7 linked regions of the Macaca fascicularis genome follow. The protein of the gene in region 7 binds, or shares a complex with, the protein of the main gene of each other region. Links are inferred from orthologs where the notes say so. Each region holds a gene or a part of one and is shown on either strand. Other genes may lie near its edges. The genes, in order: MED8, MED7, MED25, MED21, MED23, MED31 and MED18.

Region 1 (4,728 bases), about 15 Mb from region 7:
TGGGACCGAAGGATAGTTGACACAGAGATGTGAGATGGAGATGGGAAATGAGAGCAGTTTCTGTTACTCAAAGTTCTTCCTCACTCTCTGGTGCCTATGCAGAGTCTCAAATGAGATTTTTTTACTTCTGAAAATTATTTCCTGGGTCACAGTGCAAAGGAGAAATGGAGAAAATCTCTAGGTCTAGAGATGCTGGAGGCCCAGATAATCTAGCTTATTCCCTCCAGCTCCCCTGCTCAAAGTCAGCTTCCTTTCAACCCCTGCCACCTTACCTGGTTGACCTGCTTGAGCCATTTGTACCCCACTGAGCATTGGCTGCTGCTGGCTTGGAGCTCCTGCCATCTGCACCTGCTGTAATCCTGAGGTTCCTGCAAGGATCGTCCCAGCTCCTGGCTGGCCTGGCTGGCCAGGACCACTGCTGCCTGAAGGTCTCCAGTTAGACAGTCCTTTCCCAAAGGCAACAGCTGCCACCAAGGCATTAGTGTCTGTAGGGTTAAAGGTCTGCTTGTTTGGCCGGAGACCTGAAGAAAAAGTAAGTGGGGATCCTGAAGTATGTTTCTGATGCAGGACTGAACGTGGCAGCTGGAAGACCAGTATGAGTGCCAGGGTTTAGAGTTCTGAATTCAGCAGCATCTAGACTCCCTCACAGCCCATAAAAAGAGCCAGAGGACCCCCAAGCCTATCTCAGAATTCTCTCTTCTTACTTTGCCCATTTCCTCCACTGCTTCAGGGTTGGCCTTAAATACAAAAGGCTAACAGAATGGATGCAAACCCTAAAGCAGTTCACTCTTGTGTCCTAACTTCACTACTCTCGAAACAACCATTCCCATTCCAGTGATCTTATATACCTCTCCTTCTCTGTTTTGCCACCAGTCCACCATACCTCCACTCTCTGATTCTCGCTCCTCTTTGCTGATTTTCTCCAGAAGGTTTGAACACATTTTATTCAAGCTCTGGATCTGCTTCTGTAACACACAAATTTGTGCAGAGATTAGGGTAACTAGGAAACGATATGGACAAATTTATTCCTTGGGTTCTGCCAGAAGCAGCTTAGGTGCAACCAACTATGCATCCCTACTAGACAGGAATGGTAATGCCTAGCTTCTCATGATGGGATGGGGATGGGGCAGCAAGGCAGTGACTCAGTCCAACCTGGGCTGCATCTGCACCAATGCGGGCAGCATCTGTCGTCAGTTGCTTCTCCTGTTCTTCCACCTCAGGGTCAGGCTTGGTTCTCAGATGGTCAGGGACTACCTCATGGCTGAAAACGGGCACCCGTCCTTCAGTCTGCCGCTGCAACACACAGATTTTATTGATCCTACTATGCACTCCAAGAAGATTCTATCTGGCCTGATATACAGTCCCATCCACAGGCAAACAGTGCATTTTCAAGGAAAATACAACCTAAGACATAATATCTAGTTTCCTAGGACACAATCTCCTTTACTCCAGCCTTCATTTTTTGTGTCTTCTCACATCCCTATCTCTACCAGACCTAGAGGCAAATTAAACTATCACTGTCTGCCACGTTTCAAAGACTGAAACAGACAAAGTCACCAAAGGGCAGACTTTGTGGCTTGAGACAGATGTTGGAGAAGGAAGGTACCAGCCTTGGTGACATACCCCTCAGGTTATTACAACACTATTTGGGAGTGGCTCTCCCACCTTCAGAAGAACAAAAAGCAAGGCCTCCAAAATTATTTCTAAGTTCTCAGCTAAGAACTTAATTTCCCTAAATAGTAAAGAAGCCTAAAAAACTCCTTAATTTCCCAAGTTGTATTCTTTTTCTGCTCTTACCATGAGATCTTCATCTCGGTCTGGAGACAACACCAGAGGGATGATGACCTGGTTACGGAACAGCGGTGTTTTTTCATGCTTCAAGACCTTGTTCAGAGTGTTCAACTGTCCAGAAAGCAAGGCAAAGCTGTCCAGGACAGATGGCCTGTTGGCAGTAAGCAGGTGTCAGAATGTTCCACCCCTTCCTTGGGTGGTTCTTAGTAAAATAGTCCTAGTTCCTTCAGGCTAGGAACACTCGGATTTATCCCCAAAAGTCTCATAGCCCTATGACTAGCCTAAGTGGGAAGAAACTAACAAGGATGACAGGGTTATGAAAGAGGGACATAGTTTCAGTTTATGAAACAGATGTAGAAAAAATCCAGTTCATTGTTTGAATGAGGTGAGGAACAGTGGCAAAATAGGACTATACTGTTATAACTAAAACTTCAGAAACCCGGTAAAATCCTTCTTTCCAGCCTGGAAATAGGATCCACACTTCAGAGTAGGTTGGATCTAAAGGACTCAGCCATATTTGTGGCAAGAGATCCAGCACAAATAGAGCTGTAATAGGAGGACCTCCTCACCAGAGAAGTCAAAGGGTAAGAATTGAAAGCTATAATGAACTTGGGTTAGGAAACCGAGCATTTCTCTACTTCCTTGCCATGGAAGCCACTTGCTAAATGTTACGAAACCCAGCTCTTTCCAAATCAAAAGATGTTTGTAAACTGATAAATGGTTACATCATTAGAAGTGTCCTATTCATCAGAAGGCTAGGCCCCCCCACCCATAAGCCCTCCCTAGCTTGCCCTGGCAACCCTTACCAGGTCAGCCGGCCATACTCGTTCTCCAACTTGCAAATGAAACTTCCCAGTGAGTTCTTCAGATCAGCCACTTGACTCAGCAGTGCATCTAATGATGCCTCAAGCTGCTTCTCCTCTCTCTGCACCAATAGGAACAGGTTGGTTACCCAGATAAACGAGTATGACACATAGAAAGGAGGGCTGAAAAGCCAAGGAGATGGTGTGCAAACACCAGTCAGGTAACAGGATCTCATTGGCATAGGATAACCAGGTTGTTTCCTATCTGTGGTATTTGGGTTATAGACAGCATCAACCCTGAGACCTTTCAACCGTTTGCCTGACCCAAGTACTTCCACCAACTGATTCCTTTTTCCCATCCGCTCCTAATCTATGCCTGGTTTTTCTCTGTATTAGGTACACCCTACACTCCCTCATTGAGACATTTTCGACAAACCTAATGCCAGATCATTATCTCATGTGCACCTCTGTAGCACATGCACTCCAGCTTCCTCCATCCTAGCATTTGTGAGCCTGGCTCTCTTGTCAGTCTCTGGGAAATCTGCCTACTCATGAAGACTTCTCTGAATACCAGCCCTGCTCTCCTCTTTCCCTCCCCCCACCAACCACTCCAGCTTTCCATCTGCTCTCATCATTTCATGTTTCAACCTTCTCCTCGCTGAATTAATATGCACCCATCTATCTCTGTGTCAATATTCCCGTGCCTCTTTCACAAGCTCGGTCAACCCAATAACATTTCTTGAGACTACCAGCTGCAGGAAACTAAGTGACAAATGAAAACCAAAACCGCACATGCTTCTAAGCACTGAACAAACAAATTAAAATGCCGGGGGTCTGCAAAGCATTTCCTTCCCATCGGTGGTATCCTGTTTTATTCCATTTCTTCACCCTTAACAACTATAGGGCACAGGCTGGGAAGAGTGATGCAAAACTGTCTTGCAAACCTGCTAAGGTGCCTGACAGGAACTTGATCCTGGGTTCCACCATGGCCTCACATTACAAGCTGCTTAGCTTTCGGACACCGCGGCCCACAATTCCCTCACTGCTTGGGCTTCTTTCCAATTAGATCCCCTGCTATATCGGCATCCAACAGCCTCCATCCAGCAGCTTAGGACAGGGCCTGAGCCAACCCACCACCTCCTGAGCCGTCTTCCTTGGACTGCATCTCGGCCTCCCCGTATTACAACCTAATCCTTTCCCACGCCAAGCAAGTCAGTGCTGCCTCCTCCCTCCGGATTTAGCCCGACCGCCTTCTGTCAGGCGAGCTCCACCCCCACCTCTCATCTGCGCCGCTCCCTCTCCAATTAACCTCGCCCCCCAACCCACGTTCCCTTATCAGCCGTGGGTTCTGCCCTCTTTTCTCAGTCCCAACTCTTCATTCTCCTTAGCCAGCCCACTCTGGCTCCCTGTAGCCGAAGCTGGCCAGCCGCTAGCACTCCCAACGCGGCTCTCACCTGCATTGCGGCGGCCGAGGCGACTGCAACGATTTCCACTTCCGGTTTCCTGTCAGCAAACGCCTCTGAGAAGGCTTCGTCCACCAATCAGAAAACTGGAACTCGGCCCTCCCACCCACTTCCTGTTCCTTCCGGGTGCCGAGGTAGCCAGGTCAGGGGTCAAGAGTGGAACACACGGGCCCGGGCCGGCGCGGGAGGGCTTGTGTGATGGCCTCGGAGCGCCCCGAGCCGGAGGTGAGGGGCGGGCGGACGCAGCACTGGGCCCTGAGATCCGAGGGGGAGGGTCCGGCGGGCAGGCGTGGCGTTGGCCTCCTCTGGGTCTGGGGGTGGCCGGGCTGCGTAGCCTCGGCAGGGACCAGCCCAGCCCGGAAGGCCCGACTATGGTACCCCTGCGGACTATGGGACGCGGTCTGCAGTTTCCTCGGGGAGCTAAAGGAGTAACTCTTTTTGCTTTGTTTTGTTTACTGACGTGTCATCCGCGTCGTCAACTCTTTGACCTAATGATAGTGGTATTAACAAAATTTGTATTTTGACTTTCTGTTGCAGTTTCAATGGGCAACACGGCAGTAGATTTAGTTTGCCGGGTTTTGTATTTCTTTAGGCATTGGAATGCTGTAAACAGCATGAATTCATTTAGTTCTAGGGCCCATGCTTTTAGAAAAGCAGCTTTAATTTCATGA
Region 2 (4,186 bases), on a different chromosome or scaffold from region 7:
GTGCAGTGGTACAGTCTCGGCTCACTGCAAGCTCCGCCTCCTGGGTTCACACCATTCTCCTGTCTCAGTCTCCTGAGTAACTGGGACTACAGGCACCCGCCACCATGCCCGGCTAATTTTTTTTGTCTTTTAGTAGAGACGGAGTTTCACCCTGTTAGCTAGGATGGTCTCGATCTCCTGACCTTGTGATCCACCTGCCTCGGCTTCCCAAAGTGCTGGGATTACAGGTGTGAGCCATCGCACCCGGTGGAAGATTTTCTTTAGAGATCAGAAGATGCTACAGATTTTTTCATGCTGATGAAATTATTAGGGAGAGAATGGAAAATATGTGAATGGTTGAGAATATAATGCCTACTTAGAAAATATGGCAAACTTTACCTATCATAAATGTTAGTTTTAGAAACCAAGGAGATCATCTTGTCTTGGACCCCAAACTACTGGAAGAAAAGGAAGAAAATATTCTGTCTGTAGTTATGAAATGTAACAGGTTTGTTTTGTGGCTCTAATAAATCTTTGGTCTGTGTCCATAGGTTCTTGATAGTCCACAATGGGTGAACCACAGCAAGTAAGTGCACTTCCACCACCTCCAATGCAATATATCAAGGAATATACAGATGAAAATATTCAAGAAGGCTTAGCTCCCAAGCCTCCCCCTCCAATAAAAGATAGTTACATGATGTTTGGCAATCAGTTCCAATGCGATGATCTTATCATCCGCCCTTTGGAAAGTCAGGGCATCGAACGGCTTCATCCTATGCAGTTTGATCACAAAAAAGAACTGAGAAAACTTAATATGTCTATCCTTATTAATTTCTTGGACCTTTTAGATATTTTAATAAGGAGCCCTGGGAGTATAAAACGAGAAGAGAAACTAGAAGATCTTAAGCTGCTTTTTGTACACGTGCATCATCTTATAAATGAATACCGACCCCACCAAGCAAGAGAGACCTTGAGAGTCATGATGGAGGTCCAGAAACGTCAACGGCTTGAAACAGCTGAGAGGTTTCAAAAGCACCTAGAACGAGTAATTGAAATGATTCAGAATTGCTTGGCTTCTTTGCCTGATGATTTGCCTCATTCAGAAGCAGGAATGAGAGTAAAAACTGAACCAATGGATGCTGATGATAGCAACAATTGTACTGGACAGAATGAACAAAGAGAAAATTCAGGTCATAGGAGAGATCAGATTATAGAGAAAGATGCTGCCTTGTGTGTCCTAATTGATGAAATGAATGAAAGACCATGAAAGATGTTTATGTTTCTTTTTTCCTTTTGATAAATAGCCTCATATATTAGTTTATTTTCTTTTGGACAGTCTTAAGAGAGGTTTCACTAAAAATGTAAACAGCTTTAATCTTGACTCCAACTTTTTCAATTATGAGATGTCATAGGCAGTAATTTCACTGTATAACAAGCATAGACAAATGAGTACCCCTGCACTAAGAATAATCACTTTAAAAAGCAAAGTGTTCACCGCTGTTGTATGGGACATTCCTATGTTTTGGAGTTGCGGTAAAACTTTGATGATAACCTCAGTAATAGCAAAAGTTTTCGTCTTTGAAAAGGGGATTTATCATTTGCTTTAAGAATGATAGAGGAATAATGGATATCAATCTATAAATGTAAAACTATGATATCTTTAAACTTATTCCATTAAAAATTTTGCTTAAGCTGCAAAAGGTAGTATAACATGTTAATAGAGAGGAGCCCAGAAGAATTATAAAACAGAAACTTTATTTTTTCCTCATGACTGCTCCTGTAAACCCACTATCTCAGTCTTTTCTCCCTATCCTGAATAGACTCTTGCAGGCAAGTCCCATGAATTGTTTTTTTCTCCAGTCACTCAGGTAATAAGTCCTTTGGCCATTTTAAGTTACAGACATTAATTTTAGTAATTAAGATGTCTATGTCATTAGCTACACATTTTCTTTAAAGCTAAGCCCAGACTTGCTTAAGTCCACATTGGGAAAGGGGTTTGACGGCAGAGACTGCTAGGTGTCTACCAGAGAGTCTTGTTCTTTGAAGATACGTTGCCAAGATGTGGCAACCCAACCAGGGACATTTCCGTACTGCCAGCATCTCTGTGAGAACATATGATTAAGTTCTAGGCAGTGAAATGTGGGCATAGGAATCCAGGCTTGCCCCATAAACATTTCTTGCATGATCCTCCATTCTTTTCTCCCAACTGCTGGTTGCATGGTCATATCCAGGATAAGTTTGGAAGCCACCGAAGATGGCAAAGATTGTCAGTCTGGGTCTTTGAATGACTGTGAGGACTAAGTCTTCTTTTCATTAACTCCACTCTGCCCCTCACTAATTGGACTTTATGTGAGCACTTTCTTCTCCCCACTGTCCATCACCTCTTCCACCAAGGTGTTAGTAGAGAGTTGACTTTGTTTCTGAGGATCTTTGCCTGCCATTTTCTTAATGTAGGCCAGTAGTTCTTAAAGTGTGTGGTCCTGGACCAGCAGCATTGGTACCATTTGGGGACTCACTAGAAATAAAAGTTTTAGTATAATCCATAGGTTCAGAAAAATAAAAAATAAATGAAGTTTCTCTAGCTCCATCCCAGACCTTTTCAACCAGAAAGTTGAAAAGACCAGCGGGGGCAACATAGTGAGAACTTCTCTCCATTGCTATTTAATTTTAAAAGGAAAGGATATAGGGTATGTTGATTGAAGGATAAGTTGAACATATAAACCATGAGGAGGACAGAAAGTGTCTGAAGTTTTGAGTTAGTAGCCCTGGAGACCATCCTTCCTGTTAGCTTCATTCTCTTTACTGATGAACTTCTTTAATGATGTAGGTGGAGAACATGGCAACTAACAGTTCCCATGTGTTAAGCATTTCTATGTTTACCACTGTCTGGGAGTTCTCTCTCAAATACGAAAAAAAATGAGGTTAATTAACGACCTAGACATGAGGAATTAGGGGTTGCATACTTGATTCCAACTGGGCAAATCAACTGGGACTTGGCTCCCATAATAATTTGACAGTCCCCACTATGTCTATGTATGGAAGAGTCAGTCTGTCTCAGAGGAAGGAAGTGGTGCTGAACTAACAACGAGATATCCACTACAGATCAGGCACGTGTAAACTTAATATAAATAGCAAAAATAAACTGACTGTACAAATCTGTGTTCTCTTTATGAGAGTAGTTTTTCCCCAGCTATTCATTTATTCATGGTATTCATTTGATGAATACTTACTGTGGTCACCTCTATGCCTGATGCTAGTTTAAGTGTTGGATGTGTCGGAAGGGCGAAGGAAAATGTAACTAAGATAATAAAACGAATTGATTTTTGAAGGTGATAGTTTGTGTCTTAACTATTCAGCCATTACAGCACCTTCAGAAGAATCTTGCTTCCAGTTATGTTTCTATTGTCTGTTCAAATCACCTTGTCCACATTATCTTCTCTTTTCAAGGCATGTGTACATGTTCACTTCTTTTTTATCTCTTAAAACTTTTTTTTTTTATTTTTTGAGATGAAGTCTCATTCTTTCGCCAGGCTGGAGTGCAGTGGCGCAATCTGGGGCCACTGCAACCTCCAACTCCCAGGTTCAAGCGATGCTCCTGCCTCAGCCTCCCGAGTAGCTGGGACTACAGGCACGTGCCACCATGCCCACTAAATTTTGTATTTTTAGTAGAGAAGGAGTTTCACCATGTTGACCAGGATGGCCTGGATCTCCTGACCTCGTGATCTGCCCGCCTGGGCCTCTCAAAGTGCTGGGATTACAGGAGTGAGCCACCATTCTTGGCCTAAAATTTTTTTTTTCTCTTTGAGTAGAGATGAGGTCTCACTATGTTACCCAGGTTGGTTTCAAACTCCTGAGCTCAAGTAATCCTCCAGCCTCCCAAAGTGCTGGGATTACAGGAGTGAACCACCATGCCTAACCTCACATTTGTTAAGGACTTTAGAAGACAACTTTGCCAGGTATGGTGACTCACACCTGTGATTCCACCACTGAGAGACTGAGGCGGGAGGATCACTTGAGTCCAGGAGTTCGAGACCCGCCTGGGCAACATAGGGAGACCCTGTCTCTACAAAGAAATGTAAAAATTAGCTGGATGTGATGGCACATGCCTGTGGTTTCAGCCATTCCAGAGGCTGAAGTAGAAGGGTCACTGGAGTCCAGGAGGTCAAGGCTGCAGTGAGCCACGGTCATGCCACTGTACTCCAGCCTG
Region 3 (3,984 bases), on a different chromosome or scaffold from region 7:
GACTACAGGCGTCCGCCACCTCGCCCGGCTAATTTTTTGTATTTTTAGTAGAGACGGGGTTTCACCGTGTTAGTCAGGATGGTCTCAATCTTCCTGACCTCGTGATCCGCCCACCTCGGCCTCCCAAAGTTCTAGGATTACAGGCGTGAGCCACCACGCCCGGCCTATGAGGAGCGCCTATTTTGAACATCCAGCCCAGTCAAGCTTTCAGACGACCAGAGTCTCAGCTGCCATCTGATGGCAATTCCATGAGAGTCCCCAAGCGAGATGGCCACTGAGCCCAGGTGACTCACAGAATCATAAGAGAAAATTTTTTCTGAGTGCCCCCAATTATCTATTTGTTTGGAAAACTATGTTATTTGCAGCCAGAAGCACTCCTAACTCTCAGGAATGCCTTCTTCACACGGTTCTGTGAGGATCCCATGAGGTGATCCCTAAGGTCCTCTTTCGTGCAGGAATGCCTGGTGCACAGAAGTAACTGATCTGCTCCTTCCCCGAGTTACAAGGTGAACTGTGTCTCCCAGAAAGCTATGCTGAGGCTGGGTGCGGTGGCTCACACTGGTAATCCTAGCACTTTGGGAGGCCAAGGCGGCAGATCACTTGAGGTCAGAAGTTCGAGACCAGCCTGGCCAACGTGGTGAAACCCTGTCTCTACTAAAAAATACAGAAATTAGCCAGGCATAGTGGCACATGCCTGTAATCCCAGCTACTCGGGAGGCTGAGGCAGGAGAATCGCTTGAACCCGGGAGACGGAAGTTGCTGTGAGCCAAGATTGCACTACTACATTCCAGCCTGGGTGACAAGAGTGAAACTCTGTCTCAAAAAACAAAACCAGAAAGCTAAACTGAGGTTCCAGTCTCCAGCACCTTTTCCAGACTCTATCTGGAAAGAAGGTCTTTGCAGTTGTAGTAAGATGAGATCAGGAAAATGGGGCCTAATCCAAAATGATTGATGTCCTTATAAGCACAGGGACACAGAGATACAGAAAATGCCACATAGAGACACACACAGAGGGCAGACAGCCACAGGATCAAGGAAGACCCTGGAGCGATGCCACCTGCAGCCTGGGGTTACTGGCTAGAAGAGGCAATGAGGAGGCCTTCCCTCGAGCCTCTAGAGAGAGCGCGGTCCTGCCAACACCCTGACCTTGGGCTTCTGGCCTCTAGAACTGGGATCGAACACATTTCTGTTGTTTTGAGCCCCTCTGCTTGTGGTAATGTGTTACCGCAGCCACAGGAAACGAACACATCCCATAAACCCATGCCAGAATCAACAGCTTCCTCCTAACTGCTCCAGTCACATCCAGCTCACATTTTTAATGTGGAATATCCCTCAATCTGGTGCATACGATGATTATAATAAAAGTCAAGGCTCTAGAAGAAAGGCGAGGAACCTAAGGGCATGAAGTCCACCCAACCATCAAAAACGGCTTCCATGGGCCCAGGCACTCTGGGATTCCCTTCAAAGGTCAGCAGAAAGCAGTACAAGAGTTAATGCCCCTCGGCCCCCAATGCCCTGGACTCACGAAGCCATTGCCCATGATGCGGTAGAGGCCTTTGAGAGACTCCAGGTCCTTGTTGGTGAAATGGAACTGGACCATCCTTGAGTTCCGGAACAAAGGGCCCAGGGTGGTCTGCGGGAGACACAGAAGTCAGCTGGCATGTTGGTGTGGGCAAGTGAGGTGGGCACACGAGGCAGGGAGTGGGGGTAGGGCAGGGAACAGGGAAGAGACAGTAGGGTGAGGGCTGCCTGGCAGCAGGGCTGGCCCTCCACCACCACTCACCAGCAGCTGCTGGGGGATGAGCTGCATGATCAGCTTCTGGGGCCACTGCTCAGTCTTCCTGGGGGGGTGATGCCAGGAGAGGTGTGAGGAGGGGGCCAGCCCCAGCCCCACCGCACCCCACCCGACAGTCACCTACAGGTTCTCGCCATGATTCACATAGACCTGGCAGGGCAGTGACCGTGTCAGCTTGGTGTTGGCATCCACTGAGGCAGGTTTGGGTTTCTGAGGGGGAAAAAGAGCATGTCAAAGTAAAATGGGCCATAAGCCTCAGTCCCCTTGAGCCCTCATGTCCTAGCCTGCTGGCCCCAAAGCTCAGGATGTTCCCCAGTTTAAGTCCCATGAGCCCCTGGCCCCTCCTCCAGACCAGCAAACCTTCAATTCCTCAAATGTTAGGGCTACGTTCCCGGCCCCTAAATCCCACAATCCACTGTGCCCCAGGTGCTACATCACCTGGGCCCTTCTCTGGGCCCCAAATCCTAGGCTTTTCTGGGTTCTTTGCATGGGGACTCTCTTCTGTACCGCAAGTCCCACTGCTCCATGGGGCTCCTGGCCTGGTCCCGGATCCCACGGGTCCAGCCCAAGGAATGCCCCCAAACCCAGCATTGCAAACCCCATGCATGTGACCCATGAGTCCCACATGCCCAGCCCCATGGCCCCAGGAGTCCCAAGTGCCCAATGGACCCTCAGGCCCCTCACCTCCTGCCACTCGAGGACCCCGCTCCATGCCAGAAGCTTATTGGAGACTGACTGCTGCCCACCGAGGGCTGGGGCTCCTAGCTGGGCTGGGGAAGGGCCACTCACCCCTCCTGGGGCCACAGTGCCTGCCTGCCAGAGAGGAGGAAGGAGGGCCATGAGAATGAGGAAAGAGGGGGGCCTCCGGGGGCCATCCTGTGAGGGCAAACCAGGAAGAAGGAAAGGCCCCTTCTTCTGCTCATCCATTCCCAGAAGAGCACTTGGCCAGCCCCAGGACCCGAAATGCTTGGATGCTGCAGGATTCCAGGACTCATAAGCTGTGTGATGCCCCGGACTCCCAAACCCAGGGATTCCTTGTGTTTCTCAGAACAGCCCTGACCCACCTGGAGCCATGAGCCTCCCCATTCCGTCCCCAGACCCTCATCTCAGGCATCTGCAGCACACGTACCACGAACCCCCAAGGCCCCAGGGCCACCAGATCCACACCCCCCTGGAAGGCAAATGACTCATCCTCTAACTGTCCTAGCTGTGGGCAGCAGGAGGAAGGAGTGGGGGCAGGAGGTGTGCAGGCACCTACCATGGACGGTGCCCCGGGCTGCGCTGTGGGAGCCAGACCGGAGCCAGGGGCCACGGTGGAGACCAGACTGGGCTGGGAAGCAGGTGGTGGCTTGGGGGCACCAGGGGGTCCTGGGGGTAGTTGGGGAGCTGGGGCCTGGCTGAAGGGGGGACCCACTCCGGGAGCAGCTTGCTGGAGAGGGGTGATGGGCGAGACTGTGGGAGAGACCAAGGGAAGAAGTGAGGAACAAGTGTGTGGAGGGAGGCCTGCCTGGCCCCTGCCCGCCCCTTCATTCTCGCCCCAGGACTCACAGCGAGGGCCCAGCCCAGCCTTCTGGTTCTTGGCAGCCTCCACTGCATTCTGGGCGGCCACCTGAGCTGCACTCAGGTTCCCAGGAACCTGTGGGTAGAAGGGAAGAAGGAAAGGGACTGGTGAGGACCATGGCCCTCCAATCCTGGTGTCCCACGAGGTCACACCACCCACGGCCCCACAAGGCACAGCTGCCCCAGCTGGGAGAGCTCAGAAGCTCACGACACCCATCACCTAGCAGATGAGCTTCCATGGCCCCAGGAGTCCCACCCTCCCAATGTCCCATGGGACTCCCATCATCCCACAAGCTCCAACATGCAACTAGATCTCTCCCCAGGGGCCAGGGCTCCAGCAAGTCCCCAGAAGCATGTCCCTTCCTGGAAACATCCATACCTGGTACTGCGGGGGGACGGGGGGCAGAGGCTGCTGGGGAGCTGCTGAGAGAGTGGCACCGGAGGGTGCGGCAGGAGGCAGGGGGACTGGCTGCTTTGGCTGGAGGGGGCCTGGGGCAGAGCCACCCCCAACTGAGAGCAGGAGGGATGGCCAACCCCGGAAAGAAGGGATTCAAGATGGAGAAAGGGGAGAGAAATCCAAAATCCAAGTCAGAGGGAGCTGGGAAACACGTCGAGCCCCCGATCCCCGC
Region 4 (4,418 bases), on a different chromosome or scaffold from region 7:
CATATTTACCTAACTAGTCATAAAGTCACTTATGACTAAATGGCTTTGCCCAGGTTTTAATAATAGTAATGGAGCAATAAGTGCTCAGACGCTATACAAACGTAGATCCCAGCTCTATTAACCCAGGTAGCATTTTTCATTTTTAAATTGGATACATTCTCCTATTACAGCATTGTTGTGAGGAAGAGGAAATACACAAAATATTCAACACAGTGTCTATCTGTTCCATCCTTCAAAAACTTTTAGGCCGGGCGCGGTGGCTCAAGCCTGTAATCCCAGCACTTTGGGAGGCCCAGATGGGCGGATCACGAGGTCAGGAGATCAAGACCATCCTGGCTAACACGGTGAAATCCCGTCTCTACTAAAAAATACAAAAAACTAGCCAGGCGAGGTGGCGGGCGTCTGTAGTCCCAGCTACTGGGGAGGCTGAGGCAGGAGAATGGCTGAGGCAGGCGAATGCTCGGGAGGCGGAGCTTGCAGTGAGCTGAGATCCGGCCACTGCACTCCAGCCTGGGCGACACAGAGAGACTACGTCTCAAAAAAAAAAAAAAAACTTTTAAGATCCATTCAGTCAACAAAACTTTATGGAAAATAACTATGACAAGTACTACATTTAAACACTATAGAGACATAGTGAATGCGACATAGCTTCTGCACTCATGGTTTTCAGAGGGTAGAACAAATGTTAAAAGTTATACAAATCTGATTAGGATAAATGCTAAGAAGATTCCCTCTATTTTGGTTCACATCACTCCATATTCCAATTTACTTCAGAACCTAAAGCTGAAAATACTCAATTCATTATAACTCCCTAACCACATACTGTTTTTCCATCACTTAAATGTCTCCTGAGTATATGACATTTTTTTAACCTCCTTAAGGAGTATCTCTTTGCAAACATGATAGTGCTTATACACAGTAGGCACTCATACTAGTTATCCTAAAGGCTTTTCTCCAAAATCCAATTATCAGTACGCCTAACCTGGAGTTAAGGCCATATTCACTCTGTCCTTACTATCCTTCTAGTTACAAGACATGTATGAATATGCAAAAGTTTCCCTAAAATAAGATTTCTATCCAGCAGCATCATTACAATTTGATTTTGTAAAATCTCAAAGGAGTAGTTCCCTGAGGAAGGCTGACTGGCAGCTCAGGCAAGTCCCTGCAGGGCAGAATTTATCTTGGTGAATTCAACATTTAGAAGCTGGTCCTCTCAGCCTTAAAAACTAGTGTTATTCACCCAGGGTAGATCAGTTTATCACAAGTAGATTCACACTCTTCAAGTGTACAAAGCCTGATGTATTAAGAAAAATGCCAAGTTATTAGCTTACAGTGAGGAAAAAAAACTGGCAAAGAAACCAGGTACTTAGGTTTTCCTCTCAGCATGTTTTCTCTCTAGTCCCTTATCTAGGACGTTAAATCACAATCAGACAATGAGAAACATAACTATCAATGGAAAACTATTTAACAGAAAACTATGTAACTGGTAATGGTAATAAGTATACCCATTGCAGCAAGAGAATACCCACTGACGTCTTGGTCAACGGGATGCATATATTATGTCGGTCCCCTATGGTTATAACAACGCTGAAAAATTCTTACTGCCTAGTGACATCATAGCGGTCTGTGCTTGTGGTGACGCTGCTGTAAAGCAACCTACGGCACTGCCAGTGTATGAAAGTCTAGCACATACAATTAAGTACAGTCCATGATACTTGATAATGATACTAAATGACTTTGTTACTGGTTTATGTATTTACTGTTTCATCGTTATAATACATTGTACTTCTACTTATTAAAAAAAAAAGTTATCGCCGAAACCATGCATTTCTCAGAACATAACCCCTTCATTAAGGGCCCATGACTGTATGCGCATCCTCTGGCTTTGCTTCTGCTTTCCACTCAGGCATAGCTTGGAGGAAAAATTACCAGAAGGAACAAAGCTGGGGAGCTACCTACAAGACTTGGCCTTTAATAGAGCGTAGAATTTGGGGGAGACGTTCAAAAAGACTTGTAAGCCGGGCACGGTGGCTCACACCTGTAATCCCAGCACTCTGGCAGGCCGAGGCGGGAGAATCGCTTGAGGCCGGGAGTTCGAGACCAGCCTGGGCAACATGGTGAAACCCCGTCTCTACTAAAAATAGAAAAATCAGCCGGGCGTGGTGGAGGGCGCCTGTAATCCCAGCTACTTGTTTGGCGGAGGCGGAGGGTGCAGTGAGCCGAGATGGCACCACTGTACTCCAGCCTGGGCGACAGACACAGTCTCCAAAGTAAAAAAAAAAAAAAAAAAAAGAAAAGAAAAGAAAAAAGAAAGACTCAAATAAACGGAAAGACATACGAGAATCAGAAGATTTCCTATCATAAAGATGTCCCCAAACTGATGCATTCTGAGGGGTGGCCAAGAGACAAGAGATGGAAGGAGGCTCTGGGCCCACAGGAAGGAGCGAAGATGAAAAATCTCTCGCCTCAGCGTCGCTCCGCACCAACCTGAAAGCGCTGGTGAAGGAATACTCTCGGCTGGCATTTCATTACAAAAACCCAGTCATCCACAGCACGAGATCTCCCTTGGTGGATTCAAATTGATGAGGAAAGAAAAGAGCTCCTGCTTCTCCTCCCAACCCCCAAAAGAGAGATGTAAGCACCGCTGCCAAGAAAATAAAACTGTCCTCAGGGAATACGACAGGACCGCGCAGCCGACAAGTCTTGGCGGCCCCACCCGGACAAGAGCAATCTTCCCGGTCTCCTCAAGCGAAAGAGGCTGCTCCCTCCCGCACCTTCAAGCACCGCCCGGCAGCCGGCCTCACACCTCCGAGTTCGCGGTGGCGCCTCCCGAGAGAGCGCTTTATGCCGAAGCCCTGTTTCTCAGTCCGCTTTCCACTTCCAAGTTTTGCCTCTTGGGCCCCTTTTCTCCCTTGCTTTACCTCAGGAAAGAGAAAGACAGAGGCTAATCGAATGAAATTCCTCACCGAATTCACAGCGTCTTGAAGCTGCGTGAGCCGATCCGCCATGTTCTTCCCGCAGCAAACCGACGCCAAAACAGCTGCTCTTCCGCGACTGGGCAGCTCTGGTACGCGTCATGGCCAATCCCAGCGCTGCCTTCTTGGAAGGGGTGGGGTCGGAGAGAACTCCCCGCCCGTCAGGAGTGGGTGGTACTGCCGAGGCGGCCTTAGAGCGGGCTACACCAGAGGAGAGGCTGGATCTTTTGAGTAACTGGGGAGCGGCCTGGGGTCCATCGCTTTGAGGGGCTGAAATACTCTCTTTGAGGTTGTTAGGTGTTAAAGGCTTCAGAGATCGTTGGATTCAGCGGGGATTTTTTTTTTTTTTTAGTGATTTCTCCTATCCTCTCATGTGTTTACTTATTGACTACATTGAAGAGTAGATATATTTATTTATTTTTATTTATTTATTTATTTATTTATTTTGAGACGGAGTCTGGCTCTGTCGCCTAGGCTGGAGTGCAGTGGCGCGATCTTGGCTCACTGCCAGCTCCGTCTCCCGGGTTCACGCCATTGTCCTGCCTCAGCCTCCCGAGTAGCTGGGACTTTAGGCGCCGCCACCACGCCCGGCTAAATTTTTTTTTTTTTTTTTTTTTTTTTTTGTAGTAGAGACAGGGTTTCACCGTGTTAGCCAGGATGGTCTCCGTCTCCTGACCTCGTGATCCGCCCTCCTTGGCCTCGCAAAGTGCTGTGATTACAGGCATGAGCCACCGCGCCCAGCCAAGAAAAATCAGCTGCACAATTTAGATTTAGAGTTGGGACTTATTGAGAGCTTAAGTGTGAAGAGTGATAATAGAAACTTGGTATTTAAGGAAATTTAGCCTGAGGATAGTCTGGTAAGAAATGAGTTTGGAGTCGGCAAATAACAGGTTTGGAGACATCAAACAAACTCTCATATCCTCTTTCTCAGGCTGATTATCCGTGATTACCTTCCTGCGGCTGCGGGGTAGGTGGTGGACACAGTCCCCGGGGAACTCAGCTTGCTGGATTTATCCCAACCCTTGCTGGGAAGCACCACTTCTGCTTCACACCCATGCCCCACCCTCATCCCCAAACAGTCTACAGACTTACTGGGGCCTCATTAAGAACGTGGATGAGGCATGCTCCCCATAATGGAACTAATGAGAAATCACTCCATAATTTGTTCTAACTGTAACTTGGGGGAATCTACAACCTTTTCCTCCCACCTTCACTTGAGCGTGTACCTTACTGAATGCCTGCCACATGCCAGGAAGTATATCCAGTGCTCAGTGTGCAAAGATGAATAAGCCAAGGACTCACCAAGAGGAAGGTTTTGCAGTTGTCCAAGATTAAGGTGAGCTGGGCCTAGAATAGGGTGTTGACCCTGATAAGAGAGGAAAAAAAGACTAAAATATATTTTTGAGAAAAATAATTAATACGGATTGGTGACTGATTGAATAC
Region 5 (3,984 bases), on a different chromosome or scaffold from region 7:
CCCAGAATTCATACACCCTCTAAAGTGACACAGAACAAATCTAATCCCTATTCCAAATGAAAACCCTCCAAAATGCTGAGGGCATAAATAATGCCCTAGGACTTTTTTTCTTCAGGTTAAGTATTCCCATATTCTTTAAATGCTCTTCATGAGTTAGTCTCTAGTCAGGATTAGTCTAGAATCCTGACTTTAGTCTTCTAGTTATGCTGTGGTTTGTCTAATGTCACCATGAGTGTTAGGAGAAGTAGGACCTCCTTTTCTCATAACACAACAACTTCTCTGCTCGTATTTCAGCAGCCATATCCCACTGTTTCTCCCTAATGAGATTATTATTAATTAACCCTCTAGGTCTTTTGGGGGAAAAGTACAAGAAATTATAACATGTATTTACTTTAATACTACATCTAGAATAATATGCCTCTGTTGCCTAAAAAGGTCTCAAACCCACCCATTTTCCTTAAAAAAAAATTAGACAAAATAAAAATAATCACTCAAACCAAAAAAGTCTATTACTATATGTTCAAGTTTTCTAAATTAAACATCATTAAAAATAATTAAACAAATTCAACTTACTTGCTCTTTCACGCTATCACCAGTAAACATATACTTCATGTGATATAGGAAGTCGCAGATGGGATCCATGTAATTTAAATGGGTGCTACACTGGTCGACATTCAGCAGCATGTCATAAAACGCCACACCAATCTATTTAACAAATAATGTAAAATTATTTAAGTGATTAAAAGCGATTCAATAATTCAGCATGATGCAGCTGGGCTCCATTATAACACTCACACTGGGGGATACTGTCTTTGTTGTAGAGCTGTCATATACTATACATACCTCTATGCACATGAGATATGATATGGCTTGCATTTTAAAAGAATCTATAGTGCTACAAAATGCCCCTGATAAGGCTTAAATAAAATTTCTCTTCATAGTTTAGTAATTTATCTTAAAATTAAGAGATAAACAATCCCCTTTCTAGACACCAGCTCTTGATGTCTAGGATAACTCCACTCCTAGGGATCCTTTGGTTTATACTTTCTTAGTTCCATTTGGTAGCTCTTGCTTTAAGGTTCTACTCCTGGGTGCTTTCCTTGTTTTCGACATCTTGTTAGAAGTGACTGACTTCATCCATTCTCATGATTTTAATTAGTTCCTCTGCATGTAAGATCTCAAGTGTACTTCTCCATCCTTAACCTCTTCTCAACCTTCATAATGGGTATTTCCCCTGCATCTCCAATTCAATACATCCCACCCTAAATTCATTACTGGCACACTAAGTCCTCTAAAGTTGCTCTTGGATCCTGTTAAACTAGTTTCACTACTAATGGTTGTGACCTGCAGTTTCAATAACACTGGTAAAAAACCTAAATAGATACTTCAGAATTTAATCATGTCACAGGAAATCCAGATTATATTTTACCTCTATCATACAACGAGTTCTCTCTTGCTGAAATCTTTGTAAAAATGGTCCAACAAGATGGTATACATAAAGCAACTGGAATTCAGTCTTCACTATAGGAAGAAGCACTTCAGTGAGAAACCTAAAATTTGAAGATAAAAATAAAAATCTCCTGTGACTTGAAATCATTTAAATTGTTTGAATTTTGTTAATACAGTATTTACAAAGTATTATAACAAAACATTTTTTAAAAAGTTCCTTTTACTTTGGTAACAATAATGTTTCTAATTAATCTCACATCTCTCACTGGCTATTACTTTCATTTGATTATTTTTATTTATTTATTTTTTTGAGATGGAGTCTCACACTGTTGTCCGGGATGGAGTGCAGTGGCGCGATCTCAGCTCACTGCAACCTCTGCCTCCCAGGTTCAAGCAATTCTCCTGCCTCAGTCTCCTGAGTAGCTGGGATTACAGGCGCATGCCATCACGCCTGGCTAATTTTTTTATTTTTAGTAGAGACGGGGTTTCACCATGTTGGCCAGGATGGTCTTGATCTCCTGACCTTGTGATCCACCCACCACGGCCTCCCTAAGTGCTGGGATTACAGGCATCCGCCACCACACTCAGCTAATTTTTTGTATTTCTACTAAAGATGGGGTTTAAATCAGATTTAAGTCATTCTTAATTGTAAAACTACTGATAGGTGAATCATCTGAAATAAAAAGAGAATAACCTAACAGAAATGCCACTCTCAAGAAATTTCAATCTAATTAATACCATTATTATGGTCAAGAAAAATAATCAGGAAATAGGATAATATCAGTTATTCAGTTTAAAAGGTAACTTTTGGGATATATTGTGGAAAAAGCATGCATTTGACTAAGCTTCTTCAAACTATAGTGGAAAACTAGATTATTAGATTATTACTAGCACATACAAGTCAATTTTTAAAAAACAACTCTGAAGCAAAAGGAGCTTTCTGATCAACTTACTTTGCAAGTTGTTCTTTTTCTGTTGTTTTTTTGAGATGGAGTCTTGCTCTGTCACCCAGGCTAGAGTGCAGTGGCGTGATCTCGGCTCACTGCAACCTCCGCCTCCTGAGTTCAAGTGATTCTCCTGCCTCAGGCTCCTGAGTAGCTAGGATTACAAGGAGCACACCACCACGCCCAGCTAATTTTTTTATTTTTAGTAGAGACAGGGTTTCACCATGTTGGCCAGGATGGTCTCGATCTCCTGACCTTGTGATCCACCCACCTCAGCCTCCCAAAGTGCTGGGATTACAGGCGTGAGCCACCGCGCCCGGCCACGAGTTGTTCTAATGAATGAAGTATATACCTCATCTGTTAATGAGATTAGAAAAAAAATGAAATACATCAAATTTCTTTTTTTTTCAGATGAAGTCTCACTCTGTCACCAGGCTGGAGTGCAGTGACGCGATCTTGGTTCACTGCAACTTCCAACTCCCTGGTTCAAGCGATTCTCCTGCCTCAGCCTCCTGAGTAGCTGGGGTTACAGGCACATGCCACCATGTCCAGCTAATTTTTGTATTTTTAGTAGAGATGGGTTTCACCATGTTGGCCAGGATGGTCTCAATCGCCTGACCTTGTGATCTGCCCACCTCGGCCTTCCAAAGTGCTGGGATTACAGGTATGAACCACCGCACCCAGCCTATGTCAAATTTCTTTAAGAAATTATTATACTTACTTTGGAATGAGAGAAAGTTGTCCGATGCTAGAATGGTGCCACACAGCATGTGCGAGAGCTAATGTATAGCTACAACTCATCTCAGAGTAGGACTGATGACAGGCAGTGAAATCAAAGAGGCGGAATGGATAGCCAACCCACTCTGTTTCAGACGTCAAGCTGGGGCTGCTGATGACACTCACAATTCGATCATGAAGAACAATCCAATACGGCTCCTTTAAAATTGGAGGAAGGCTAGTGAAAAATATCACTTATCCAGCATTCCACCCCAAAGTCTAAAGTAATAGTGTTTTCTCATTCTTTAAAGTTTTCTATTTCTCCAGCTTCTGCACATACAGTTGGGTGACTTCGTAACTGGTCAAATTAAGTCAGTAACAACCTGGGTGAAGTACCTGTGAGTTAGGGGGCTCCATACATGTATCTGTCCAGCTCATTTAGGTACCTGATATATACTATGCAGTAAATCAATTAATTTATCAAACAATAAATCTATAATTTTATTATTTATTTAAAAATAATAAACTTGTTAAAAATGTGTGTGGAGGTCAAAGAAAGGAGTCATGTGAGCTGGAAAAGTCAGGGAAGGCTTCATTCACTGAGAAAGGAGGCTCTAAGCTAGCAAAGAATGAACAGGCTTTAGAGAAGGTGATGGAAAGAAGTAAGCTCTGGAATACGAAAAATGTCTTATTCACTCACATTCAGAAGTACCTAAAACATGTCTTAAGCACTATGTGCAGGAACAAAAGCTGTAGATATACAACACGTTAAGCGGCCAAGAGTAGATCAGGCTATGATGTAAAAACTAAAGTTGGATAGGTAAGGTGGTACCAGAAAATGCAGAGGCCTGTAAGTCACATAGATATATTTAGA
Region 6 (4,529 bases), on a different chromosome or scaffold from region 7:
CTTCCAGATTTGAAAGAGTAGTGGGAAATCTGCATTTGTTATATAAAAGTTTCTGATCTTCAAATGTTGGCAAGTATTAAAAAAAAAAACAAAACTAAAATCTTCTGCAGACTGAATAAAATGCCCAAAAGGGGCTAATCTGCAATCTCTCTTGAATGTAAGTATCTGGAAGGTTGTTGTCCTCAAGAGGGTATAGAATGGTTCTAGCTCAATCCAGGGACAACCAAGTTATCAAAATTAATGTCACCAGTAGTGGGACAAATAGACTTCATGTGACTGCAGATAGATGAAGGATAACACTACAATCAGACTAGAGCTACAAGGAGAGACATTATATCACAATATAAGGAATAACTTTCTACCATCTGGCTAACAGTCAAATCAGCTGTCCCTGACAGAGTAACATGGGCTCAGTGAAAACCTCCAGAGGGTAGGTGACCATCTCTCGGCAACGCTGTGGGTAAGATTAAACGTGTTGGTGGCTGAGGCTTCCAACACTGAGTCTGTAAATCTACATACATACAACATTTGTTGAAATCTATTTTTCTTAAAAGTCTTTTCTTTGGATTATTAAATGGATAAAAAGCCAGAAAAGGTGCAAAGGGTCCTGCAGGCAATATAAGATGTATATGCTTCGTGAGTCAATTGTTATTGGACACAGAAAAGTGACTTCGAAACAAGTTTGAAACATTTTCCTCTCAAACTTTTTTTTTTTTAAGGTTCACTATTGCTTTCTACCTGCTTAACACAAAGCAGGGATGAGTTCAAGGTGTTGTTTTTTTTTTTTTTTTTTAATCATTAAAAGGGAATAGGTTTGTGGTTATATGCTTCTTGCAATTCAGTAAGCCTTAACACGAAAGTGTCGCTGAATGACCTGAATGGTAAATATATATATATATATATATAAATGAGTTAATGCATATGAAGCATTTAGCACTGTTTCTGGCACATAAGAGGCCTTAAATAAAAGATAGCAACTCTAAGACTCAGGTTAAGATCACCTCCTCCAAATAACCCCAGAAACACCTTCCTTACAGATACCCTCTTTTAATTTCAGCCCATGGCTTATGTCACTTCATTTACAGACTGTGAGTTCTTCGGGACCAGAAACCTGGTGAGATGGGGAGGGTGGTGAAAGACAAGGTCAGACAAGGCAGGGCCAGATCATATAGGGCTTTAGCCCAAGAAAAGAGACTGGATTTTATTCTGCATGGTATGGAAAGTCATGGAAAGGTTCTAAGCAAGAAAGTAAAGTGTTCTGATTTATATTTTTAAATGACTAAGTTGGTTTCTGTGTAGAAAGCTGTTTTGCTTGGTTTGGTTTGGGGTGGAGGGGGGGCAGGAAGGTAAAAGTGGAAGCAGAGATAACCAGGGAGTAGATTACTGCAGTGATACAAGTTAGAGATGAGACTGTCTTGTGTTAAGATGGTGACAACGAAAAGAAGTGGAGAGATTCCAAATACATTTTTGCCAATGTGAAACGAAGAAATCTATCATATCATAAAGTATACACATGCTTAGGATTATAAAAATTAAACTTACTTTAGATACTTGGCATATTCTGGGTCTTTCCAGTAAAGCAAGTATTTAAGATAATTAACAAAAGCTTTGTCTTTGAAGTAACCTCTTTGGGCAAGAACTGAAAAGCATTAAAAAAAAAAATGTCTGTAGGTCAAACCAATCTTTAAACTATGCTTTGTTACCCCTAATGTAAAGGATCTATTTACATAAAACCCCCACCACCAACACACATTGAATTCAAAACACAAATCCCAGTGCGCAATTATATCTATATACCAGCATAAGTGTAATATCATTCAATTGAGAATGTGTAAAAGTAGATACTATTTTGAATTGCAACTCTTCTGTCAGAAATCATTAGTAGCTACTCAATTTAATGAGGTGCTTAACAACTTACAATTAAGGTAATTTGGGTTGGCTAAACATTGCACAAATTCCAACTCCAACTGAAACCGAAGTCGATTTCCAGCATCATCTAGGAGACAAGACAGCAAAAATCATGGAAAGTAAGGGTCACTGTATATAATACTGATTTGCAGTAAGGAAACAGCAATAAAGAAACCTGACTAATGCCGAGATGGTCTTCCTAAACTGGGAGTTGGGGGAGATAAACCTTTCTTCGAAATCTAAGAAAAGCGGAGCCCTGATTAAAAGGAGTTAGAAGTTTCTCTAAAATTAAAGAGAAATCATCAAAGAAAGCAGCAACACAAACGGAGAATTCCTAAGATCACTAAGGTAGGCTGTAACAACTATGGCTTCCCCTATGTTAATAATGCGTTATAACAATTGTTAACAGTGATTAAGTTTTGCAAAAGCTACGTGCTGAATCAGTTAAGAAAAAGTTAGGATGCAAGAGACTGCGTAGAGCCTAAAAGATCATGGAGCGTATGCATATAAGAAGCACCAGTAGCAGAATGACACATAAAGTCCGGCGACGATATTTCAAACTTAGGCAAGCTCATGTGAGAAGCAGAAAACCAATCAAGGAGGAGACGGTTTAACACACAAGTCCTCTCCCTTAGTCTCACCCACGCCGGGGAGCTGGTAGGGTGGTGTCTGAATAGCAAAGATGTGCGAACAAACCAAATTAGGAAAACTGCAAAGAGTACCTTAGTCTTTCTAGAAGCTACAAGAGCCTTCTCACCTCCTTGTCCAAATATTAACCCTGCCGAGATTAAGGCCTGGAAGGAGGCCACGGGGAAGCCGTCTGGACCGAGGGGAGTTCCATCTGCGAAGACTCCAAGATCAGAGAGCTACTCACCTGTCTCCATAGCGACGGCAGCGGCCATAACAAACGAAGACACCAAAACGCCACCAGCCTGACCGAGCAAAAGCCCAGAGTGGCGGGGGAAGTTCCGGAAACCACGGCTCTCTCTTCCGGTCCCGGGGCACTGTGGGATATGGGGCCGGGCGGCTCCGCCCATCCCGCCAGCCCTGGGATGGCTCCACCCGCGCTGGCTTCAAAATAGCGAGCGGGCGGGGCCCGGGCCGTGGGAGCGCCTGAGGGGCAGGAGCCCAGTGTTTTTAGCCTTGGAAGGATCATGGTGTTTCCACGTCATCGTGTTGTGGCGCTCCCGGCTATGGCAGTACCGTAGTTTTCCTCTCTTCTGCCTGCGGTGACCGTTGGGCTGGGGGGTGCCCCGAGGCCTCCTTGGCCCCCTCACGCCGGCAGAATGGCCTCAGCCCGAGGGGCCAAGCAGTCTTCTCCCCGGGTGGGGACCACCCGCTACACAGAGACGTCCACAGTCCGCGTGGAGACCTCGTCCCACCGCGTGGAGACGTCGTCCCGGCGGGTGGAGACCTCCCAGCGCCGCAGCGAGGGGCCCTCCCTCTCCCCCTTGGGGAAGCGGCTCCCTGGCATCCTCGAGGCGTCCTCCCGGCACGTGGAATCCTCCTCGCAGCGCACGGAAACGACCTCCCGCCACATCAGGGCCTCGTCCCTGAGGGTGGAGACGGCTCTGCACTGCGCGGAGAGCCCAGCCCCGCGGGCCAAGCCGGCCGCCCGCCAGAACGAAAAACCGGCCCGATGAGATGCTGCTTCCCAAAGGCCACCAAGGGGCCAGGGCCCTCAGCCAGGACAGAAAGGCCTCCAGTTGCCAGCCAGCTGCCAGGTGGACCAATCATTTTCGGTTTCATGGAAACAAACCATAAATCAATGGAAGAAACAGCCAAGCCGCAGTTTCTGAACACAGCCAACGTTTATTGACCATCCTGCGTCTTGGACCAGCCTACTTTTGACCCAGTGAACTATTTTCACTTGAAGCCAGCACAAAAGATTTTCATGCCCAGGATGCTGTCTAAATTGGCTTGATGGACAAAGAGGCTGTTTGAGCCTCTGAGCCAGGTGAGTTTGGGATCCACAGCCCTCAGAAGACCTTCACCCCTTAGGAACAGAGACCAAACTGAAATCATGACCTGTGGAATGATTCCATGCCTGCTAGAAACTTGAGGGGCAAGGAACAGACTCATAAATTATTAATGGCCTTTGTTTATGTTTCAAGGTAACTGGTGGTTTTCTTTATGCTAACTAAGTCTTTGTACCTGGCACTCCCATCCATACACTTTTTAAAGGTAGGTTAGATGTAGTTAAAAATGACAGTAAACCCACTAGCAAGCAAAAATAATCTTAGAAGAGAAAGTGAGAGGAGGCCATTGAAACCTGGTCTGAGGTTTGAAGAAGATGGAGAAGAGTCATATTTATTGAGAACCTGCTCTGTGCCAGGTACTAGATGTTCCTCCACTTACAATGGGGTTACCTCCCATTAAAACTATTGTAAGTTGAAAACACGGTAATTTGAAAAGGCACTTAATATCCCTAACCTACTAAACATCATAGCTTAGCCTAGCCTACCTTAAACATGCTCAGAACACCTAACGTTGAGCAAAATCATCTAACAGAAAGCCCATTTTATAATAAAATGTTGAATATCTCATGTAATTTATTGCATACTGTACTAAAAGTGAAAAACAATGGTTGTATGAGTGCTCAAAGTACTATTTCTACTGGT
Region 7 (2,717 bases):
ATAGACCCTGTTGCTGATTAAAGGCTCTAAGCCCAAGGCCTGCTGGAGATTAGCATTAGAGGAGGCCTAAAGACATTGTAGTGTTAAATAAGAAAATTCCAAAAAATTGAAAAGGGAAATAACTTTCTCACAACGTTATACAATACCTTGGTAGTGCAACTTCTCTAAAATCTCATGTTTGGCCCTATGTTTTATGAAATGCTTCACTAAACTGTTTTGGTTTTTCATTAAGTTTTTTCAATTGTATGCTAACTCCATGACCTAAAATGAAAGATAGGACTCAGTGGTGCTTGTTCCGTTTTCAGGAAGTGTTTTAGATCACAGTTTGGAAAGCCTCATCCACCGCCTTCGTGGTTTGTGTGACAACATGGAACCTGAGACTTTCCTTGACCATGAGATGGTATTCCTCCTTAAGGGCCAGCAAGCCAGCCCATTTGTTCTTAGGGCCCGACGCTCTATGGACAGGGCAGGAGCACCCTGGCATCTGCGCTACCTGGGACAGCCAGAAATGGGAGACAAGAATCGCCACGCCCTGGTGCGAAACTGCGTGGACATTGCCACATCTGAGAACCTCACCGACTTCTTGATGGAAATGGGCTTCCGCATGGACCATGAGTTTGTTGCTAAGGGACATTTGTTCCGTAAGGGCATCATGAAGATTATGGTGTACAAGATTTTCCGCATCCTGGTGCCAGGGAACACAGACAGCACTGAGGCCTTGTCACTCTCCTATCTCGTGGAATTAAGTGTGGTAGCACCTGCTGGGCAGGATGTGGTCTCTGATGACATGAAGAACTTTGCAGAGCAGCTAAAACCTCTGGTTCACCTAGAGAAAATAGACCCCAAGAGGCTCATGTGACTAAGAGGATCTGTCCACATTTGGGGCCTGTCCTTACTTGCTTGAAAAAATGTTTGCTTTTTTTTTGGTTTTTGTTTTATTTTGTTTTTGAGACAGAGTCTCGCTCTGTTTCCCAGGCTGGAGTGCAGTGACACGATCTTGACTCACTGCAACCTCTGCCTCCCGGGTTCAAGCAGTTCTGCCTCAGCCTCCTGAGTAGCTGGGATTACAGGCACCCACCACCATGCTCAGCTAATTTTTGTATTTTTAGTAGAGATGGAGATTCACCATGTGGGTCAGGCTATTCTCAAACTCCTGACCTTGTGATCCACCCACCTTGGCCTCCCAAAGTGCTGGGATTACAGACATGAGCCACCATGCCCGGCCAAAAAAATATGTCTTAAATGCTTCATTTCACCATTGCCAGGCAGGCATTCTTCCTTCAGGGAGAGGATGGTGAGAATTAATTGGTTCTTTGCATTGTTCTTATGTGGTGATTTCACTTTCGTGACAGCCTTTCTACATTAAAGGCTCAGGATGTCACGGAGAATCTATCTAATCCCACTGTATTATTAAAAGGGGAAACCAGGCCAAGCGCAGTGGCTCACACCTCTAATCCCAGCGCTTTGGGAGGCCGGGGTGGGTGGATCACCCGAGGTCGGGAGTTTGAGACCAACCTGGCCAACATGGTGAAACCCCATCTCTACGAAAAATACAAAATTTAGCCGGGCATGGTGGCGGGCGCCTGTAATCCCAGCTACTTAGGAGGCTGAGGCTGGAGAATTGCTTGAATCCAGGAGGTGAAGGTTGCAGTGACCAGAGATGACACTATTGCACTCCAGCCTGGGTGAGAAGAGCAAAACTCTGTCTCAAAAATAAAAATAAAAATAAAGAGGGGAAACCGGAATAAATTAGCTTTTGGAAAGGAAAATTTCTTGTTTGGCCATTTGTGTATAAGGTTTGTAACATTAGAGGCTGTGAGCTTGTGTTATATGGTAATAAAGCCAATGAAGAGAAATGTCTGTGTAATTCTGATTCTTTATTCCTTTACCCTGTAAATTTGGGGTGGATTCATTACCAGTTGAAGCAAAAAAATGACAGTTCCTAGTTTTAATTATGGTAGAGATGAGGATGAGAGTTTTCACCTGTCATAAAAGTAGCACATTTATTGTTGAAAACTTATAAAATATGGTACAGATAAAAAATAACACCTATTATCCAAAGAGAGTACTAGTTCTATTTTGGTATTTATCCTTCTAGTCTTTACTTTTTATAAATTTATGTATATGAAATGTGTTTATTTTATAGAGAAGATTCCATATATACTGCTTTATAACCCTTTTTTCCCATTCATCTATCATTAACATCTTTCCAAGATATTTGTCTACAATCTCCTTTTGTTAAATTTTTTTTTGTTTTTTTGAGACAAGAGTTTCGCTCTTGTTGCCCAGGCTCAAGTGTAGTACTGCCATGATCTCAGCTCACTGCAACCTCCACCTCCCACTTTCAAGTGATTCTACTGCCTCAGCTTCCCAAGTAGCTGGGATTACAGGCATGCACCACCACGCCTGGCTAATTTTTTTTTTTTCTTTTTTTTTTTGAGACAGACTCTTGCTCTGTCACCCAGGCTGGAGTGCAGTGGCACAATCTCGACTCACTGCAAGCTCCACCTCCCGGGTTCATGCCATTCTCCTGCCTCAGCCTCCTGAGTAGCTAGGACCACAGGTGCCTGCCACCACACCCAGCTAATTTTTTGTATTTTTAGTAGAGATGGGGTTTCACTGTGTTAACCAGGATGGTCTCGATCTCCTGACCTCATGATCCTCCTGCGTCGGCCTCCCAAAGTGCTGGGATTATAGGCATGAGCCACCGCGCCTGG

Evidence for each region.
Region 1: MED18 (region 7) and MED8 share a complex: the UniProt entries of both Homo sapiens proteins name them as parts of the mediator complex. The link is inferred for Macaca fascicularis from reciprocal best matches to the Homo sapiens genes MED18 and MED8.
Region 2: MED18 (region 7) and MED7 share a complex: the UniProt entries of both Homo sapiens proteins name them as parts of the mediator complex. The link is inferred for Macaca fascicularis from reciprocal best matches to the Homo sapiens genes MED18 and MED7.
Region 3: MED18 (region 7) and MED25 share a complex: the UniProt entries of both Homo sapiens proteins name them as parts of the mediator complex. The link is inferred for Macaca fascicularis from reciprocal best matches to the Homo sapiens genes MED18 and MED25.
Region 4: MED18 (region 7) and MED21 share a complex: the UniProt entries of both Homo sapiens proteins name them as parts of the mediator complex. The link is inferred for Macaca fascicularis from reciprocal best matches to the Homo sapiens genes MED18 and MED21.
Region 5: MED18 (region 7) and MED23 share a complex: the UniProt entries of both Homo sapiens proteins name them as parts of the mediator complex. The link is inferred for Macaca fascicularis from reciprocal best matches to the Homo sapiens genes MED18 and MED23.
Region 6: MED18 (region 7) and MED31 share a complex: the UniProt entries of both Homo sapiens proteins name them as parts of the mediator complex. The link is inferred for Macaca fascicularis from reciprocal best matches to the Homo sapiens genes MED18 and MED31.

Annotation. Positions count from the first base shown.
Region 1 is NC_088375.1:191,387,846-191,392,573, reverse strand, and holds the start of MED8 (mediator of RNA polymerase II transcription subunit 8), read right to left. Parts: upstream 3,138-4,728; 5' UTR 2,954-3,137; coding exon 2,598-2,953; intron 1,943-2,597; coding exon 1,798-1,942; intron 1,294-1,797; coding exon 1,153-1,293; intron 966-1,152; coding exon 884-965; intron 522-883; coding exon 273-521; intron 1-272. Other genes in the region: KICSTOR complex protein SZT2, read left to right, coding at 4,256-4,282. UniProt on the Homo sapiens protein: Component of the Mediator complex, a coactivator involved in the regulated transcription of nearly all RNA polymerase II-dependent genes.
Region 2 is NC_088380.1:163,927,632-163,931,817, reverse strand, and holds the end of MED7 (mediator of RNA polymerase II transcription subunit 7), read left to right. Parts: intron 1-530; 5' UTR 531-547; coding exon 548-1,246; 3' UTR 1,247-3,312; downstream 3,313-4,186. UniProt on the Homo sapiens protein: Component of the Mediator complex, a coactivator involved in the regulated transcription of nearly all RNA polymerase II-dependent genes.
Region 3 is NC_088393.1:57,813,814-57,817,797, reverse strand, and holds part of MED25 (mediator of RNA polymerase II transcription subunit 25), read right to left. Parts: intron 3,866-3,984; coding exon 3,735-3,865; intron 3,432-3,734; coding exon 3,344-3,431; intron 3,248-3,343; coding exon 3,054-3,247; intron 2,609-3,053; coding exon 2,480-2,608; intron 2,006-2,479; coding exon 1,920-2,005; intron 1,842-1,919; coding exon 1,784-1,841; intron 1,634-1,783; coding exon 1,526-1,633; intron 1-1,525. UniProt on the Homo sapiens protein: Component of the Mediator complex, a coactivator involved in the regulated transcription of nearly all RNA polymerase II-dependent genes.
Region 4 is NC_088385.1:29,775,663-29,780,080, reverse strand, and holds the start of MED21 (mediator of RNA polymerase II transcription subunit 21), read right to left. Parts: upstream 3,039-4,418; 5' UTR 3,009-3,038; coding exon 2,967-3,008; intron 1-2,966. UniProt on the Homo sapiens protein: Component of the Mediator complex, a coactivator involved in the regulated transcription of nearly all RNA polymerase II-dependent genes.
Region 5 is NC_088378.1:35,560,380-35,564,363, forward strand, and holds part of MED23 (mediator of RNA polymerase II transcription subunit 23), read right to left. Parts: intron 3,330-3,984; coding exon 3,115-3,329; intron 2,548-3,114; exon of another isoform or gene 2,403-2,547; intron 1,551-2,402; coding exon 1,430-1,550; intron 706-1,429; coding exon 574-705; intron 1-573. UniProt on the Homo sapiens protein: Required for transcriptional activation subsequent to the assembly of the pre-initiation complex. Component of the Mediator complex, a coactivator involved in the regulated transcription of nearly all RNA polymerase II-dependent genes.
Region 6 is NC_088390.1:6,692,373-6,696,901, forward strand, and holds the start of MED31 (mediator of RNA polymerase II transcription subunit 31), read right to left. Parts: upstream 2,864-4,529; 5' UTR 2,811-2,863; coding exon 2,783-2,810; intron 1,997-2,782; coding exon 1,919-1,996; intron 1,640-1,918; coding exon 1,543-1,639; intron 1-1,542. Other genes in the region: C16H17orf100 (uncharacterized protein C17orf100 homolog), read left to right, coding at 3,195-3,551. UniProt on the Homo sapiens protein: Component of the Mediator complex, a coactivator involved in the regulated transcription of nearly all RNA polymerase II-dependent genes.
Region 7 is NC_088375.1:206,725,002-206,727,718, reverse strand, and holds the end of MED18 (mediator of RNA polymerase II transcription subunit 18), read left to right. Parts: intron 1-305; coding exon 306-859; 3' UTR 860-1,856; downstream 1,857-2,717. UniProt on the Homo sapiens protein: Component of the Mediator complex, a coactivator involved in the regulated transcription of nearly all RNA polymerase II-dependent genes.